Linked DNA regions of Notamacropus eugenii. The protein of the gene in region 2 binds, or shares a complex with, the protein of the main gene of each other region. Links are inferred from orthologs where the notes say so. Each region holds a gene or a part of one and is shown on either strand. Other genes may lie near its edges.

Region 1 (7,462 bases), on a different chromosome or scaffold from region 2:
CACATGTTGGTAACAGCTGGTCAGCAATTGGCGGAAGTGATGAAGAGGGTGAGCTCTTCTCCACAATGATTTCTTCCCTCAATCCTCAGTGCCTAGCATGGTGCCAGGCACAAAGTAGGTGTTCGTTGATCTATATTTCCACTTATAATCAGACTACCAAATGCCCAACACTGCACCTTGCTTATATGCACTCAATAAATAGGTGTTGATGGTATGGCATTAGTCATGTGAAGTTACAGAGATGTGGTTCTTGTCCCACTGTAGTTCAACCAAGACAGATAATACTTTTACTGTCTCATTCCTGGGTCACACTTGTGTAGAAGGTAATTACTGCAAACAACTTCAAAGAAACAGTGTAACTTGAGAAGTTTTCTGTGGTTATGTCAAACTTATTTGTAGCCTCCAAGTAAAGGTTGAATGACCTGTTGGGGGTGTTGCAAAGGTCCAGTCAGACTAGAAGAACTCCGAGGTTTCCTTCAAGTCTGAAGAATCAGTAATTCTATTCCTCTAAGGGCATATTTCAGTTGGGTATTTAGAATACACTTTCTTTGTCAAATTCCCACAGGACTGAAATGCTTTAGTTACCAAAGAATCAAAAGTGACAATTCAGTATATGGAATATTGCCCCAAATGCCTTTCAGAAAGTTTCCATTCATTCGAGTGGCAACATTTTTTTTTATAAGTGTTCTTTTGGGAAAAATAAATAAATTACTTCAAAATAGAGGTTTCCTATTAGAAAAGCTAGAGTGGTCAGCTATACATATGCACACATTTATATAACCAAAATTACAGAAAATTCACAATAATACACTTTCCCCCCAATACCTTAAAAATTACACTTAAAAAAAGTTCCAGTAATAATCCCCCCCCAAACTAGCTGCTATGGGGAAAACATGAATTTGCACATAGGAGAATTAAGCGGAACCAGGAAAACAAAGATAAAGTAAACTGAAGGCACAGTAGAATGAAACTGAACACTTTATAAAGAAATGAATACTTTATAAAGGAAATCACTAAAATTACATTTATATAGCACTTACTATACCAGGCCTTGTGCTAAGCTCAATTACAATAACAAAATGTTGCCCATAAGAAATAAGACAATGTAACTCTCTCCTTTCATTAGAGAACTTGGGGACTATGATATGTAACTGTTGAATATACAATCAGAAAAATCTTTTGCTTTGGATTATTGTCATTTCATTGCTATTATTTTACACCTACACCCTCTCCCCTCCATTCTCCTTTTTTAGAAAAGAAAATCTGGCAGGTTCTAGTCTTTATCTCTGTGATTAACGGATAGAGATTTGGGGAAAGATTTGGATTTCTATAAAGGAAGAAATATCAAGTTCCCATAAACAGGAGAGTCCATAAGCTAAAAGAAAAAAACAATAGGGGAATATTCCTCTAACCCTAGTAGGAAAAATTGAATCAACCCCTGGAAAAGAGGAACTGTGATATACCCTTAATCCAACAAGTAGCAGACATCTATATTTAAGAGTTCAAATTCTACATGTACAAATGTTCCACATGGGCATCTTTCCCTTATAACCTTGTACCTTTAAGGAAATCTCCACTCCCGGGTTAGTATTTAGAAACATGAAGTATTTGTGAATACTTGATCAAATAGCAATAAACAAAATGTTCTGGATCTAATTAAATAGGCTCCTGGGTCTGGCTGGCATCTACATGTTGTAGAATATACAATTATGGAAAAAGTTGAGAATGACAGCCTGGAACTGTGGGGTTAAATGTGTAATCTGTCCATATCAGTAGGTACCTTACAGGGGACTGGCTGATTGCCACTGAGATTGTCATGCACAAGAAACTCGACAGAAAGGTTCCTATAAGTGTATGGACCAGGAGATCATCAGGCAGTCTGGATGGACTTGTCAGGGCAGTTGTAGTGGGGAACCCTTCTCAGGTCTAGACTGGATTGTGGTATAATGGTTGGTAGCATATAGGGAAGGAGGGAAGGAAGGAAGGAAGGAAGGAAGGAAGGAAGGAAGGAAGGAAGGAAGGAAGGAAGGCAGGCAGGCAGGCAGGCTATATGCCAGGACTTTACAAATGCTATCTTATTTGATCTTCATAATAACTCTGGGAAGAAGATGCTATTATCATTCCTATTTTACAAATGAAGAAACTGTGACAGACAGAGTGACTTGACCAGAGTTGCACAACTAGTTAAATGTTTGAAATGGATTTGAATTCACGTCTTCCTTAGTCTGGGCCCACGCTCTATAATAATAGCTAACATTTATATAGTGCTTAACATGTACCTGGCACTGTTGTAAGCACTTACAAATATTATCTCACTTAATCCCCACAATAACTGTGAGCAGCTAGGTGACGCCAGTCCAGGAATTAGGAGGAGCTGAGTTCAAATGTGATCACAGACACTTACTAGCTATGTGTCCCTGGGCAAATCACTGAACCCTGTTTGCCTCAGTTCCTTATCTGTAAAATAAGCTAGAAAAGGAAGTGGCAAATCACTCCAATATCTTTGCCAAAAAAAAAATCAAATGGGGTCACGGAAAGTAGGACATGCCTGAAATAACTCAACAACAATATTGTGTTTACTATGTGCTAGGCATTGTGCCAAACACTTTACAAATACTATCTCATTTGATCCCCACAACCACCCTGGAAGGTAGATGCTAGCATTATCCCCAATTTACAAATGAGGAAACAGGTTAATTGACTTGACCACAGTCACACAGCTCCTTAAGTGTCTGAGTCTGAATTTAAACTAAGGTCTTCCTGACTCTAAACCCAGTGATCTATTTACTGTACCACCAAGCTGCCTGAGAAGAGCTAGGTTTACATCCTAACTCTGACACTTCTCTGACCCTTATTGTCTTCATCTGTAAACTGGGGATGATGCCTGATACCTAGCTCACCTGATTGCTGTGGGGCTCAAAATCAAATGATGTGAGAAAGGTAACTTTACATATTTTCAAGTGTATTTTTGTAAGTTTTCCTAAAACACTTCTGAGGTCTGTTCTGACTCAGATTCAGTGAGAAGACAGTGGAGGATGATAACATACTTCATCAAGTAAAGTAGAAAACCACCTGCCGACTAGTTTGTTTGAGAAAGCCACTCTGGCGGTAACTCATCTTCTCAATATCTCCTTGGTCTTAGATATCATCTTCCCTTGAGTTCAAGAAATGCATGGATAGCTTGAATTTACCAAATTTCACGCACAATGTGTGACCCTGGTCAACTCCTATAACTTCTCAGTAACCTTGACACATTTATAAATTGAAAAGCAGGATCCGATTTACATTGAGGGAGGGAGTTTCCTCACAGGGAGTTCCCTTACCCAGTACAATCAAAAGTCAAGAAAACCAAATCAATGCAACTTAATGTTCCTTTGGCTAGTGGAGGCATTGACTGTTTTTTATTCACCACAGACTTCTGGGAGGATATATCTGGAAGTGTAGTTGACCAGGTGAGGAGCTGATGTGGGATAAAACATTAAGACAAAAAGGATGTTACCTACCCAAGCCTTCATTTTAAGGACTCTCCAGCATTTTAACTACGATCTTACCCCATCTCACTAGCAACTTACTTACATACCTTACCTTTCTCCATTAGAATATATACTCCTTCTGGGCCAAGGGTTATCTTTTTGTTTTTTTCTTGTTTTTGTATCTCCAGGCCTTCACACTTGCACTCTGAACCTAGTAAGTGATTTTTGACTTGACCCAGATGTGGAGAATCTCTCCCCGCTTTAAGTGGGCACACTCACATGTCTCCCTTCCAAGTCTCTGCTAAAATCCCACCTACTACCGAAAGCCCTTCCTGATTCCCCCTTAATTCTGATGCGAATTATTTCCAATATATTCTTGCACGACTTGTTTGTATGTAATTGTCTCTGTTATTAGACTGCGAACTCCACATGAGGAAAAATGTCTTTTACCTTTCTATCCCCAGCAGCTAGCACACACGGTGCCCGGCACATAGTAGGTGCTTAATCCATGTTGACTGATTCCTTAGACTATGAGCCCCCAGTGAGCAGGGACTGTCTGTTACCTTTTCTTCCCCAGCTATTAGCTATAGGTAATTAGGTTTATTGATTTTTTTAGGGACCTCCCACTGTTAATTATTTCCAATATCTCCTGCACTCATCTCGTTTGTATTAGACCGTGACCTCCCCGAAAGTGGAGAGTGACTTTGGCTTTTCTTTCTGTCGTCCCGCACGCCCCATCCTCGCACTCAGCACACACAGTAGGAGTTTACTGAAGGCTTCTCACCTTCTCTGCTAGCTGGACTTGCGCTCCACGTGGATCAGACTCAGCCTCCCTCAATCCCGGAGGCGTGGGAGGGAAGGAGGGAGGAAGGAGGAAGGAGGGCGGGGGAGGAGGGAGGAAGGCGAGAGAAAAGGTCAGGCTCGTCGGCGCCCCGCCCCGCCCCGCTCCGCCCCGCCTCTTCTGCCTCGTTTCCCTTGTCCCTCCCCTCGCTGGCCCCGCCCCCTCCCGTGCTCCACGCCCTCCCTCTCCGCCAGCGGAAGGAACCGAAAGCGAGGCTGAACGCCTGACGTCAAGGCGACCCAGCCAAACCTCGCCCAGAGTCAGGCGTGGAACGAGCCGGAGCGGCGGCGGCGGCGGCGGCGGCGGCGGCGGTGGCAGAGGAGGAAGAGGAGGGAGGGAGGCGGCAGCCCGGCGACCCACCCGCCTTGGCAGCCGGAGAGCGGAGACGGAGACGCCGAGAGAGAGCCCGGCTCTGCGGAGGGGGCCCTCCGGGGGACTCGGTGGCAGCGCCCTGAGTGAGTGGGGGGCCGGCGGCGGGGCGGGGAGGAGGCCCGGGCGGGGCGCGGACGGGGCGGCGGGGCCGGAGCGGGACGTGCAGGTGGCGGGGCCCCCTCCGGAGCCGGGGAGGGACGAGGCGCCGCCGAGCCGCGCTCTCCCTGCGGAAGGGGTCAGATGTCTGAAACATGGCGGAGGAAGTGCGAGCCTGAGGAGCCCCCTCGCACACTCGCTCGCGCACCCGCACGCGCTCCCACTCCCGCTGCCCGTGGCAGGCGCGGGGCGGGCGGGCGGGTGTCCGCCTCCCCCCCGCGCGCCGCCGGGGATCCCCGGGCCGCCACCCCGGGCTGTGGGTGGAAGTTAGCGAGCGGAAACGAGAAAAGTTGTCCTTGGACCGGACGGGCCGTCCGCGGAGCCGGGGGTGGGGGTGGGGGCTTGAGGGGGCGGGAAGGTTCAGGGGGAAACCACTCCCCGGCCCCCTCCCTCGGGGCTGCGAGGCTGACAGGGAAGGGATGGGGGGGCGCGACTCGCATTTGTTTCGGGAAGTGGTAGGAGGAAGGCGGCCGAGCGAGCCCCACCTAGTCCGGCTCTGTACCCGCAGCCCGGGGAGAGGGAGGCGATTGATTAAAGGGCCCTTCCTCCCTGCCGCCGGGCAGGAAGCGGCCTCCTTGGGGGCCTGCCCGCCGGGGGAGACCACCCCGCCACGTTCCCGGGTCAAGCCAGGTCGCCCCCGAGCTCGGCCCAAGCAGCCCCTGCCCTCCCTGTGTGCAGCGAGCTAGGATTCTCCCCAGCCTTGAAATAGGTTATCTCGGACCGCCCCAGCAGAGCTGGCCCACTTTTTTTTTCTTGGATATCATCTCTGAGCAAAGTACTGCACTTTCAAATCAGTGTTAATATATTAAGTGCCTACTATGTGCCAGGCCCTGGAAATGCTCAGAAAACCAACTCCCGCCTTCCGCTGCTCAGTCCAAGGAGGATGCGATAAACTAGGATTATTTCTAGCCTTGAAGTAATTATTGAAAACTGCTCCAGCAGAGCTGGCCCACTTTTTTTTTTCCCCACCTAGATATCATTTGGAAAAAGTAGTGCACTCTCAAGTCAACAAGGACTTCATTAAGCATCTGCTGTGTATCTGGCCTCATGCTTGGTGCTGGGGATACTAAGAAAAGCAATTCCTGTCCTCAAGGAGACCACAATCTAAAGGGGATACAAGAAACTATGATTATTAAAGGCTTGAAGGGAAGTGGTTCTTTTAATCCATTGCTTTTTTTTTTCTTTCCGCAAATGGATGTCCTTTGGAAAAGTACTGAACCCTCAAGTCACCAAGCATTTATTAAGCAGCTATGTATATGTAGCAGGCCTTCTGCTAGGTGTTGGAGAAAATTAAAACCAATTCCTGTGCTCACAATAAAATGAGAATGCAATAAACTGTTCCTCTTCATAGCCTCAAAATAGCTTTTTTTTTAACTTAACCTCATTCTCCCTTTTCCTCTTAAATGGATGTCTTTTGGAGGAAGTGTTGCTCTTAATATCAGGAAAGTTTTAGTTTCTTTGGAGATCCACCACCAGGTTTCCACTTAGGTAAACTCCTTGCAAGTAGGAATTTTTTTTTGTTAGCCTGGCAGCTAGTAGACTTAATAGTTGTTGGTTGATAGATTTTGTTCAGTACTTTTTTCTTCCTCTTTAAATGTTACCAGTTTGTCCAAAAATTGATGTGCCAAGCAGAAATTAATAACCTCAGATTTTTATTTTTCCTTTAAATTAAGTCACACTATCTTCATTTTTTGTATCAAAGTGAGAATTTTGGGGAATTACACCACCCTGTGTTTGAGGGGTTTGCGGATATAAGTATAACTTTGTAAATGCATACCTCACTACTGGTGAGACCCCCTCACCCATTTGGTACCTATTTGCTTTTAACTACCATGCTTTGTGCCTTTAAAGTATTTGGAATTTCATACAGGTTGTCCTAGCAAGAAATGATGCACAAAAGAAAAAGAATACCTTTTACCCCGACTTAATGTCTCTAAGCTAACAATGTTCAAGGATTTCCCTTTGGACGTAACTTTGGTAGTCCTAAACTATAGAGCTGGAAGAGACCTTGAAGGTTTTATCTAGTACAAACCCCTCATTTTCCAGATAAGGAAAAGATACCTCTGAGTGAAATGACTTATTCAAGGTCATACATTGAATGCCTAACTTAATGATGGTTTTTTGTTTTTCCTCTGTAGCGAAAGGGACAGAATGACAAATTCTGTCTGACAGAAATGATACTTGAGTAGACTTGTGGGGTGGGGAATCGAAAGGTTGGCCTTGTATAAATTAGATCTTGTCAAGAAAAGCCAGAAATACACACTTCAGTCTTGATGTATCAAATCCTGTGGCCTTTCAGGCAGAGGTGACTGACAAATGAAATTACACATCAGGAACAGGTCTGAATTTGTGATTTTGCAATTAAGTTGGTAGAGGGAATTTGTGGATAAGGAAATGGCCTTTATTTATGCAAGTCCGCACTTTTTTTTTCAGCATAAGTGTTAGAGAATTGCCTAGAGTACTGAGTGGTTTAGGGACTTGCCCAGGATCACCCAGCCATTATGTGACTCCAGAGTCAGTCCTTTTTCCATTTGGCTGCCTCTGCTGATAGGGAAGGAAAGTAGCTTCCTATTTGATTCTGGGATAACTGCTAGCAACTTGTTAAGTGGGGAGGCAGATG
Region 2 (6,897 bases):
GGGTAGGAGAATGGGGGGCCGTCCGGGGTCCGAGGAGAGGGCAGCTGTCCACATGGGAGTCTCCTGACTTGACTCACACTCGCCGAGCCCGATAAGGGCTTAGAGATCGTCTACGGGAGCTCGGGGAGGAGAAGGAGACGGAGACGGTCCTGGGATACCCGTCCCGCCCACTTTTCCTGTTTGCTGTGGGACTACAGCTCCCAGCAGCGTCTCGGAAGCGGTGGCCTTACCGAACGACCGCGTCCCCGAGGCGTGGTGACTTATGGGCAATGTAGTTAAAGTGACTCACCTGCAAGGTGGGTGCTGGCCTTCTGGGACGAAGCGACAATGCTAACCCTTTCCCAGTCCTTCCTTCCCTCCGAGGAAATAAGGGGCTAGGTAGAAATAAAGCGAGTGGTAAACCCTAGCCCCCGAGTGACGCTCCAGCCTCCGGTTTTATGGTGCTTTGGAATCTTTTCTATCTTTGAGGGTCACTTCACAATCAAAGGCTTAGGAGGGGGTCCCCTTTATATTTAGGGGAACCCCCTCAGTTGGAGGCTCTTCAGTTTCAGGATGCTTTGAGATTTTCCTCATCCTAGGGGTCCCCTTACATTTTCAGGGCCCCTTCACTTTGAGGTCTCAATGGCAGGCAGAGTTTGAGGGTCCCTTGGAACTCACAGGCTCAGGGTTTGTGACCATTCCCTTTAGGGACACGCCCAGAGGAACCTCGTAGGGGATTCCCTCAGGCTGTGATGAGTTCCACCAGCATGAGCAGTCTCCTACGCCCCGCGTTCCCCCTGGGGTTCGTGGTGTTGGCCCTGACGTTGAGCTCGCGCCGAGCGTGGGGATGCATAATCTGCGATCCCGCAGTGGTGGCGGGACTACGAGAGCTGGAGCAGAACTACCTACCCAGCCACATGGAAGTGGACCCCCAAGCTCTGCAGACTTTAAAGAGCCGGCTGGAGGAGACTGTGCGCCAATTCAGCGAGCTGCCTTTTGGGGAGGACTCCTACCAGGGCGTCATAGGTGAAGAGCGGCCCCCAGGAGCCAGGGCACCTGCCTGCCCCTCAAGCGCACTCCGCGGACGGCGATGGGGTGGGGGCGCTGTTCAAGGGGAAGGTCTGGGTCAGCCTGGCTGAACGCCGGGGGGCCTATTCCGACCTAACCACCTTTCTGCAGATGAGCCCACGCTGAACAAAGCGTCCTGGGTCTTCCTGAAGGAGCTGAGGCGAATCAGAGATAGCGATCTCAGAGGTGGGTTTTCGCTAGGGGCTCCAGGTATCAGGTCGGAGAAGGGGGAGTCCAGGGAAACTCACAGACCGTGCGCCCCCTACCCCCTGCAGACAATTTCCTCTTGAAGGAGCTCACCTGGACGCTGCATACGCAGAAGGAGAATTTAGCTCGCCTGGTAACGGAGTTCCAGAGGGAAAGTGAGGAAGAGCCCTGAAGTGTCTGGCTCCCCCGCCGGGCCCTCCTCGGGCAGCCCTCTGGCGTTCTCTCTGCCCCCACCCGAAGCCCTGAGCCTATTGCCAAGACCCCAGCAGAGTTTCAGGCTATTTGCTTCCGCACCGTCAGGGATCCCGGCTCATTCGAGAAATCCCTCTCCATTTCCCCCCTTCCGCTCGGGGAGCCCTATGACCTTTGCAACACTTCATTTGGGGAACCTTGTGCCCTTTGCCCTCGCCCCATCGGAGACCCCAGCGCCTTTTGCCCTGAGCCTGAGCCTCTTTCAGGGGCTCAGGGCTCTGGTCCCTAGCCGCACTCCCTCCACGATCTCGGGACTCCAGTGTCCTCAGGGAATTGGAAGCTTCCTCTGAGGTACCCTCCCCTCCCCCCGAGGATATAGGCCCTTCGTTCCCAAAGTACAGGGTCTTTTGCGGACCCAAGCACAGACTCGTCGGCCCTTAGGTAAAGCCCGGATCTCTTCTTCCCCACAGGTTTTTGTCCCAACAAATGCGGTGAGCGCCTGGCCCTCAGTACCCTTCTCTCCCCTCCCAGCCTCAGTTCTGCAGCCCCTCAGGGCCTGGTCCTGTGGCTTTGCCCCCTCAGGATTTGGTGACATCTCCCAGCCCCCTCCCCCGTTCCTCGCCCTTACCCCTCCCCCTCCTTTCCCCCCCTCCCGCCGTCCCTCGCAGGCCTCATGATGCAGACCCTCATCTGGTGTCATGGGTGTGAGAAGCAGGTGCACTCCTGTCTAAAGTCTTACGACTGCGGTGGTGAGCGAAGTCGGAAGCTGGGGAGGAGGTCAGAGGCTGGGGTAGGACCTCATCACTAAGGTGCGGCTGACTAAGTCACACTAATGTGTCACTTCTATCTACAGAACAAAGCGTGCGAGTGCATGAGAACGGGGACATGGTCTTGGACTGCGAACTGAGTTGGCATAAAGCAGCAGAAGGGCTCACCGACTACACATTCTACAGGGTACTTATTCCCAGATACCTGAGGGGCCCCACGGACTCCGGGAGTGGGGCCTGCACTACCTTCGGGGCAACCTTCCCCCTCGGACTCTTCTTGGTCCCTGCGTGATCCAGGGATCCCATGGCCCCCATTTGTGACCTCACTGCTTCCGGGCCCCATGTCGTGCCTGGCCGTCGGTATGAATCCTAGAACCCTCGGCCATCCCACGCCGCTGAGGATCCCAGTCTGGCGGTAGAGCTACCTGACCCTTGCATGTTCATCCCCGGGGTCTGGGGCCAGGTCTGGCCAAATGGCTCAGAAGTCCTGATAAGTAGCGGCCAAGAGGCCGCTCTGACCAAGCCCATGGTGTCCTTGGAAGACTCGGGGGTCTATCGCTGTGTCTTGGGAACCGTCCGAGAGCAGAACCCAGCCACAGTCATCACCTATCACGTAAAGGGTCAGCCTTCTTTCTCCCAGACCCACCTACATGCTAACACCTGGGGGTGGGGTCTCAGGAAGGGTTCCAGGGGATAGGGTGGGACGCGTGGTGAGGGGCGGACCCTGAATGGGCAGGAGCTAGCGGCTAGCCCCTGGGGGCGGGGCCTGTGAACTGGGGCCTGGGTCTGGCTCCTCCTCACCGACCCCTCCCCGCAGTGATTCCTGAAGAGCAGGAAAAATTCGACGACTTCGATTACGGTCAAAGGCCCAATTTTAGTCCCAGTTCGAGTACTGAGACAAGTATAAACCTGAATCCGATTGTGCATCCGAGTCCGAGCATACCGACCGGTCACTGGACTTTCCCTGGTCACAAGCCCCGCCCCACAGTTGACCAGGAGTCCGATAGGGAAGAAGAGTCCTCTACGACTTCGACTTCGATTCCGAGGAAGACGTTGACTCCGACCACAAAATTACCGCCCGAGGCTGAGCCCGGCTTGGGGGCTGAGCCCGGCTTGGGGGCTGAGCCCGGCTTGGGGGCTGAGCCTGGCTTGGGGGCTGAGCCTGGCTTGGAGGCTGAATCCGGGCCGTGCACTGGGCACGGAGATGTCTTCGCGGACTCAGGCCAGAATGCCGCCAGAATCCTTAACATCACCCTGATTGGGCTAGTCGCTGGTGGGGCGGCTGCAGTGCTGGGGAGCCTGGCGCTGACGTGAGCACTGGGCGCGGCCAGACCCGGTAGTTACCACCCAGGCCAAGCCAGAGCTGGAGGGGTGGAAGCCTATGGGGCGGCGCCACCCGAGAGGGGATAGGGTCGAAGGGGCAGGGCCCGACAGGCTACCCCACCAGCATGGGGTTCACGGGTAAGGGAAAGGTTTCAGCCGCAGTCTGCCTCACTCTCTCCGGCCTCCCTTCCAGCCTCTATTGCGCCCGCAGAGCGGGCCTAGACCTGAACCGGGCGGGAAAGTAATGCCAAGGGAATCCCAGCAGCCAGTGTTCCTGGATGGAGCCGTCGGCCCTGGAGTACCGAGGTCTGGGGCACCCCCTACCCTTCAGTCAATAAAAATGTCTCCTCTTTCTTTGCGTCTGTGACTCAGTCCAACAGCTCAAGTCTAGGAGGGGACTCCTGGATGCTCAAGGGCGCGGGCCTGGGTTCCAGAGTGGATTAGGGATCCAGTCACTTTCGATCCTGAGGGAGATGGTATTAGGCTTGGATGGCTGGGTCCCCAAAGGGGAGGAAATTGAAGAACCAGAGAACGGGCCCAGCGCTGGGGGGCGCTGGACGCCCAGGTCGTGCCCGTCCTAGCCGGGCTTCGCTCCCCTCCCCCCCCTCCCCTGACAGGACGCCCCCTCCCCGCTCTTCCTGCCCGGCTTCCTCTTGCCTTTTCCTGTCCTGTTCCCACCCAGAGCCAGGAGCACAAGGATCCAGGCGGGAGCAGGACCCAAGCCTCACCTCGGGAGCCACAGGCCGCGGCCTCGGGAGGAGGGTGAGTCCCTGGCGCACAGGGCCTCTAGACCCTCTGGAACCGCGGTGTCCCCTCCCGATGCCCTCTCCCGCTTGAGAATCCAGAAGGTCTTATATCCACGCAGGAGATGCTGTCAGGAGAGCGGAAGGAGAGCGGGAGCCCCCGCTTCGGGAAGCTCCATCTCCCCGCCGGCCTCTGGATCAACTCCCCACGGAAGCAGCTGGCGAAGCTGGGGCGCCGCTGGCCCAGCGCGGCCTCAGTAAAGTGAGTGGTAGCCCCCCGCCCCGACTGAGGGTTCCCATATCCCCTACGTCCTCGCCAGCCTTCCAGGGATCCAGGTGGTTAGAGATCTGAGACCCCACCCCTTCCTGCCTCAGACGTCCCTGCAGGCTTTCGAAAGACCCAGACTGCAGGGGGATTTGAGCCCCTCCTAGGAGCCCCACCTCCTTCTTCTCTGGGTCCCAGGAGTCCATTACCCTACCTCTAACAGATCAAGGGGCTGCATCTTCCCTTCTCCCAAGTATCAGGGCCCCCAGAAACCCAACTCCAAGCTTTAGCGCGTCTGATTCCCCCTTAGTCCTCCCCGCTCCCACTCTTCATGTCTCATGAGTCTCCCTCTTTTTCTTCTCTCCTTTCTGTGTGTGTGTGTGTGTGTGTGTGTGTGTGTGTGTGTGTGTCTGTTTCTCTCTGTCTTTGTCTCTATGTACCTCTCTCCCCCCTCCCTCTTCTCCTCGCCTCTTCGGATCCCTTTTGCCCCTCTCTTCCTTCCTCCACCTGTCTTCTCTGTCCGTCCGTCTCCCTCTCCCACTCTGTCCATCTCCGTCTTTCTTTCTCTCTCCCTCCGGCCGGCTTTCTCTCTCTTTCTGTCTCTCTGTTTCTCTGTGTCTCTCTGTGTCTCTCTGTTTTTCTGTCTCTCTCTCCCCTCCCTCCTTCTTATCCCCGCCTCTTTGTCTCCCTTTCCTCCTCTCTCTTCCTTCCTCCGTCTGTCTGTCATGTTTCCCTGTCTCTCTGTCTCCCTCTCCCACCTGTCCATCCTCTCTCTCTCTCTCTCTCTCTCTCTCTCTCTCTAACTCTCTCTCTCTCTCTCTCTCTCTCTCTCTCTCTCTCCTCTCTCTCTCTCTCTCTCTCTCTCTCTCTCTCTCTCTCTCTCTCTCTCCCTCCCCCCCTTTCTTCCCGGGCCTCTGTCACGTCGGGAGATGCCGTGTCTCCTCTCCCCCGGCTCGTTCTGCCTCTCTCTGTTTGTCTCTTGACGTCTCTGTGGCTCTCTGGTCCGCGCATCCCTGGCATCCGCAGGTCTTCCTCTTCGGACACGGGCAGTCGCAGCAGTGACCCGGCGCCAACCTCTTCAGGTCACTCAGGCCCGGAGCTGCGTCGCGTCGGGGCTGTGAAGGCCGCAGGGGGTGCCTCTGGGAGCCGGGCCCGGCGCATCTCCCAGCTGTTTCGGGGCCCAGGGACCGGGACCGGGGGCGGGGGCGCTGCCGGGGGCGGGGCGGGTCCCGGTGCTGGGGCTGGGGCTGGGGCCCAACGCTGGGCCAGCGAGAAGAAGCTCCCGGGCTTGGCTGGAGCTGTGGGCCCCGAGCCTCAGACGGCCTCGTGGGGCCTCCCGGGCTTTGGCGGCCCCAGCCCTGCCCCGGGCGTGCTGAAGATCTTCGGCTGCGGCCTCGCCTCGGGCACCAATTATAAAAGCGTCTTGGCCACGCCCCGCTCCACTGCCCGCGAACTGGTGGCCGAGGCCCTCGAGCGCTACGGACTGGCGACCGGAGGGCTGCCTGGAGGCGGCGGCGAAGGTGTCTCTGGGGGAGGAGCCGAGGCTTTCGCGCTGTGCGATGCTCTAGGCCGGCCACCCGCGGCCTCCGGAGGAGCTGGGGAGTGGCGGGCAGAGCACGTGCGGGTCCTGGGCGACTCGGAACGCCCCCTGCTGGTGCAGGAGCTGTGGCGCCCGCGGCCTGGCTGGGGCCGGCGCTTCGAGCTGCGCGGCCGGGAGGAAGCGCGCAGACTGGAGGAGGAGGGTCCGGCCGCTGCCCAAGAGGACGGTGAGGGCGGGGCGGCAGGTGGGAGGGGCTTTTTTCTTCTCTTGGAGTGTCGGGTTTTCTGAGTCTCAGTCCTGTCTGTCCTCCTCCCATTCCAGACCCCCAGCCTTTCTTTCTCTGGGTCTCTGTCCTGTCCCGGACCCGCAGCCTCTCCCTGCTACTCTCTGCTCATTTGTCCCCTCCGGGTGAGGGGCTCTCTGAGTCTCTATCCTGTCTCCTCTCTCCCGGTCCCGGACTCCCAGTGTCTCCCTGGGTCTGTCTCTGTCTTAGTGCCGGGTTCTCTGAGTCTTTGTCCCTCCCACATCACGCCCTCCACCCAACCTCTCCGTCCTGGGGTCTCCGTGTTTGTTTGACCAGTCTCCCTGGGTCGCCTCTTTTTGTGTCTCTCCTCACTTTGCACCTCGATCTCAGTGGCTCTATCTGTCCCCACTCCTCCTCGCTCTCTGTTCGTGTCTCTACTTCTCTGTCTCTCACTGGGTTTGCATCTTTCTTGGTGTCCATGCCCCTGCAGGCCTGGGAGGTCCATCGTGGCGACCCCCGAAGAGCCGATCGCGGGCAGCCTCCGGCCCGGGGCCGGGACCAGGGTCTGG

What was found.
Region 1: the proteins of RASIP1 (region 2) and RAP1B are in contact, whole or in part, in a crystal structure (PDB 5KHO), measured with the Homo sapiens proteins. The link is inferred for Notamacropus eugenii from reciprocal best matches to the Homo sapiens genes RASIP1 and RAP1B. Residues at the interface, in NP_060275.2 of Homo sapiens: Val147, Lys149, Ala156, Ser157, Gly158, Ala159, Asn160, Tyr161, Lys162, Ser163, Val164, Leu165, Glu181, Arg182; in NP_001010942.1 of Homo sapiens: Val24, Gln25, Asp33, Pro34, Thr35, Ile36, Glu37, Asp38, Ser39, Tyr40, Arg41, Glu54, Leu56, Phe64.

What each region holds. Positions count from the first base shown.
Region 1 is NC_092874.1:245,866,604-245,874,065, forward strand, and holds the start of RAP1B (ras-related protein Rap-1b), read left to right. Parts: upstream 1-4,444; 5' UTR 4,445-4,769; intron 4,770-7,462. UniProt on the Homo sapiens protein: GTP-binding protein that possesses intrinsic GTPase activity. Contributes to the polarizing activity of KRIT1 and CDH5 in the establishment and maintenance of correct endothelial cell polarity and vascular lumen.
Region 2 is NC_092876.1:12,681,550-12,688,446, forward strand, and holds the start of RASIP1 (ras-interacting protein 1), read left to right. Parts: upstream 1-3,888; 5' UTR 3,889-4,025; coding exon 4,026-4,298; intron 4,299-4,401; coding exon 4,402-4,541; intron 4,542-5,570; coding exon 5,571-6,310; intron 6,311-6,818; coding exon 6,819-6,897. Other genes in the region: IZUMO1 (izumo sperm-egg fusion protein 1), read left to right, coding at 263-296, 688-1,005, 1,159-1,233, 1,323-1,409, 1,917-1,937, 2,115-2,195, 2,300-2,400, 2,677-2,833 and 2 more. UniProt on the Homo sapiens protein: Required for the proper formation of vascular structures that develop via both vasculogenesis and angiogenesis.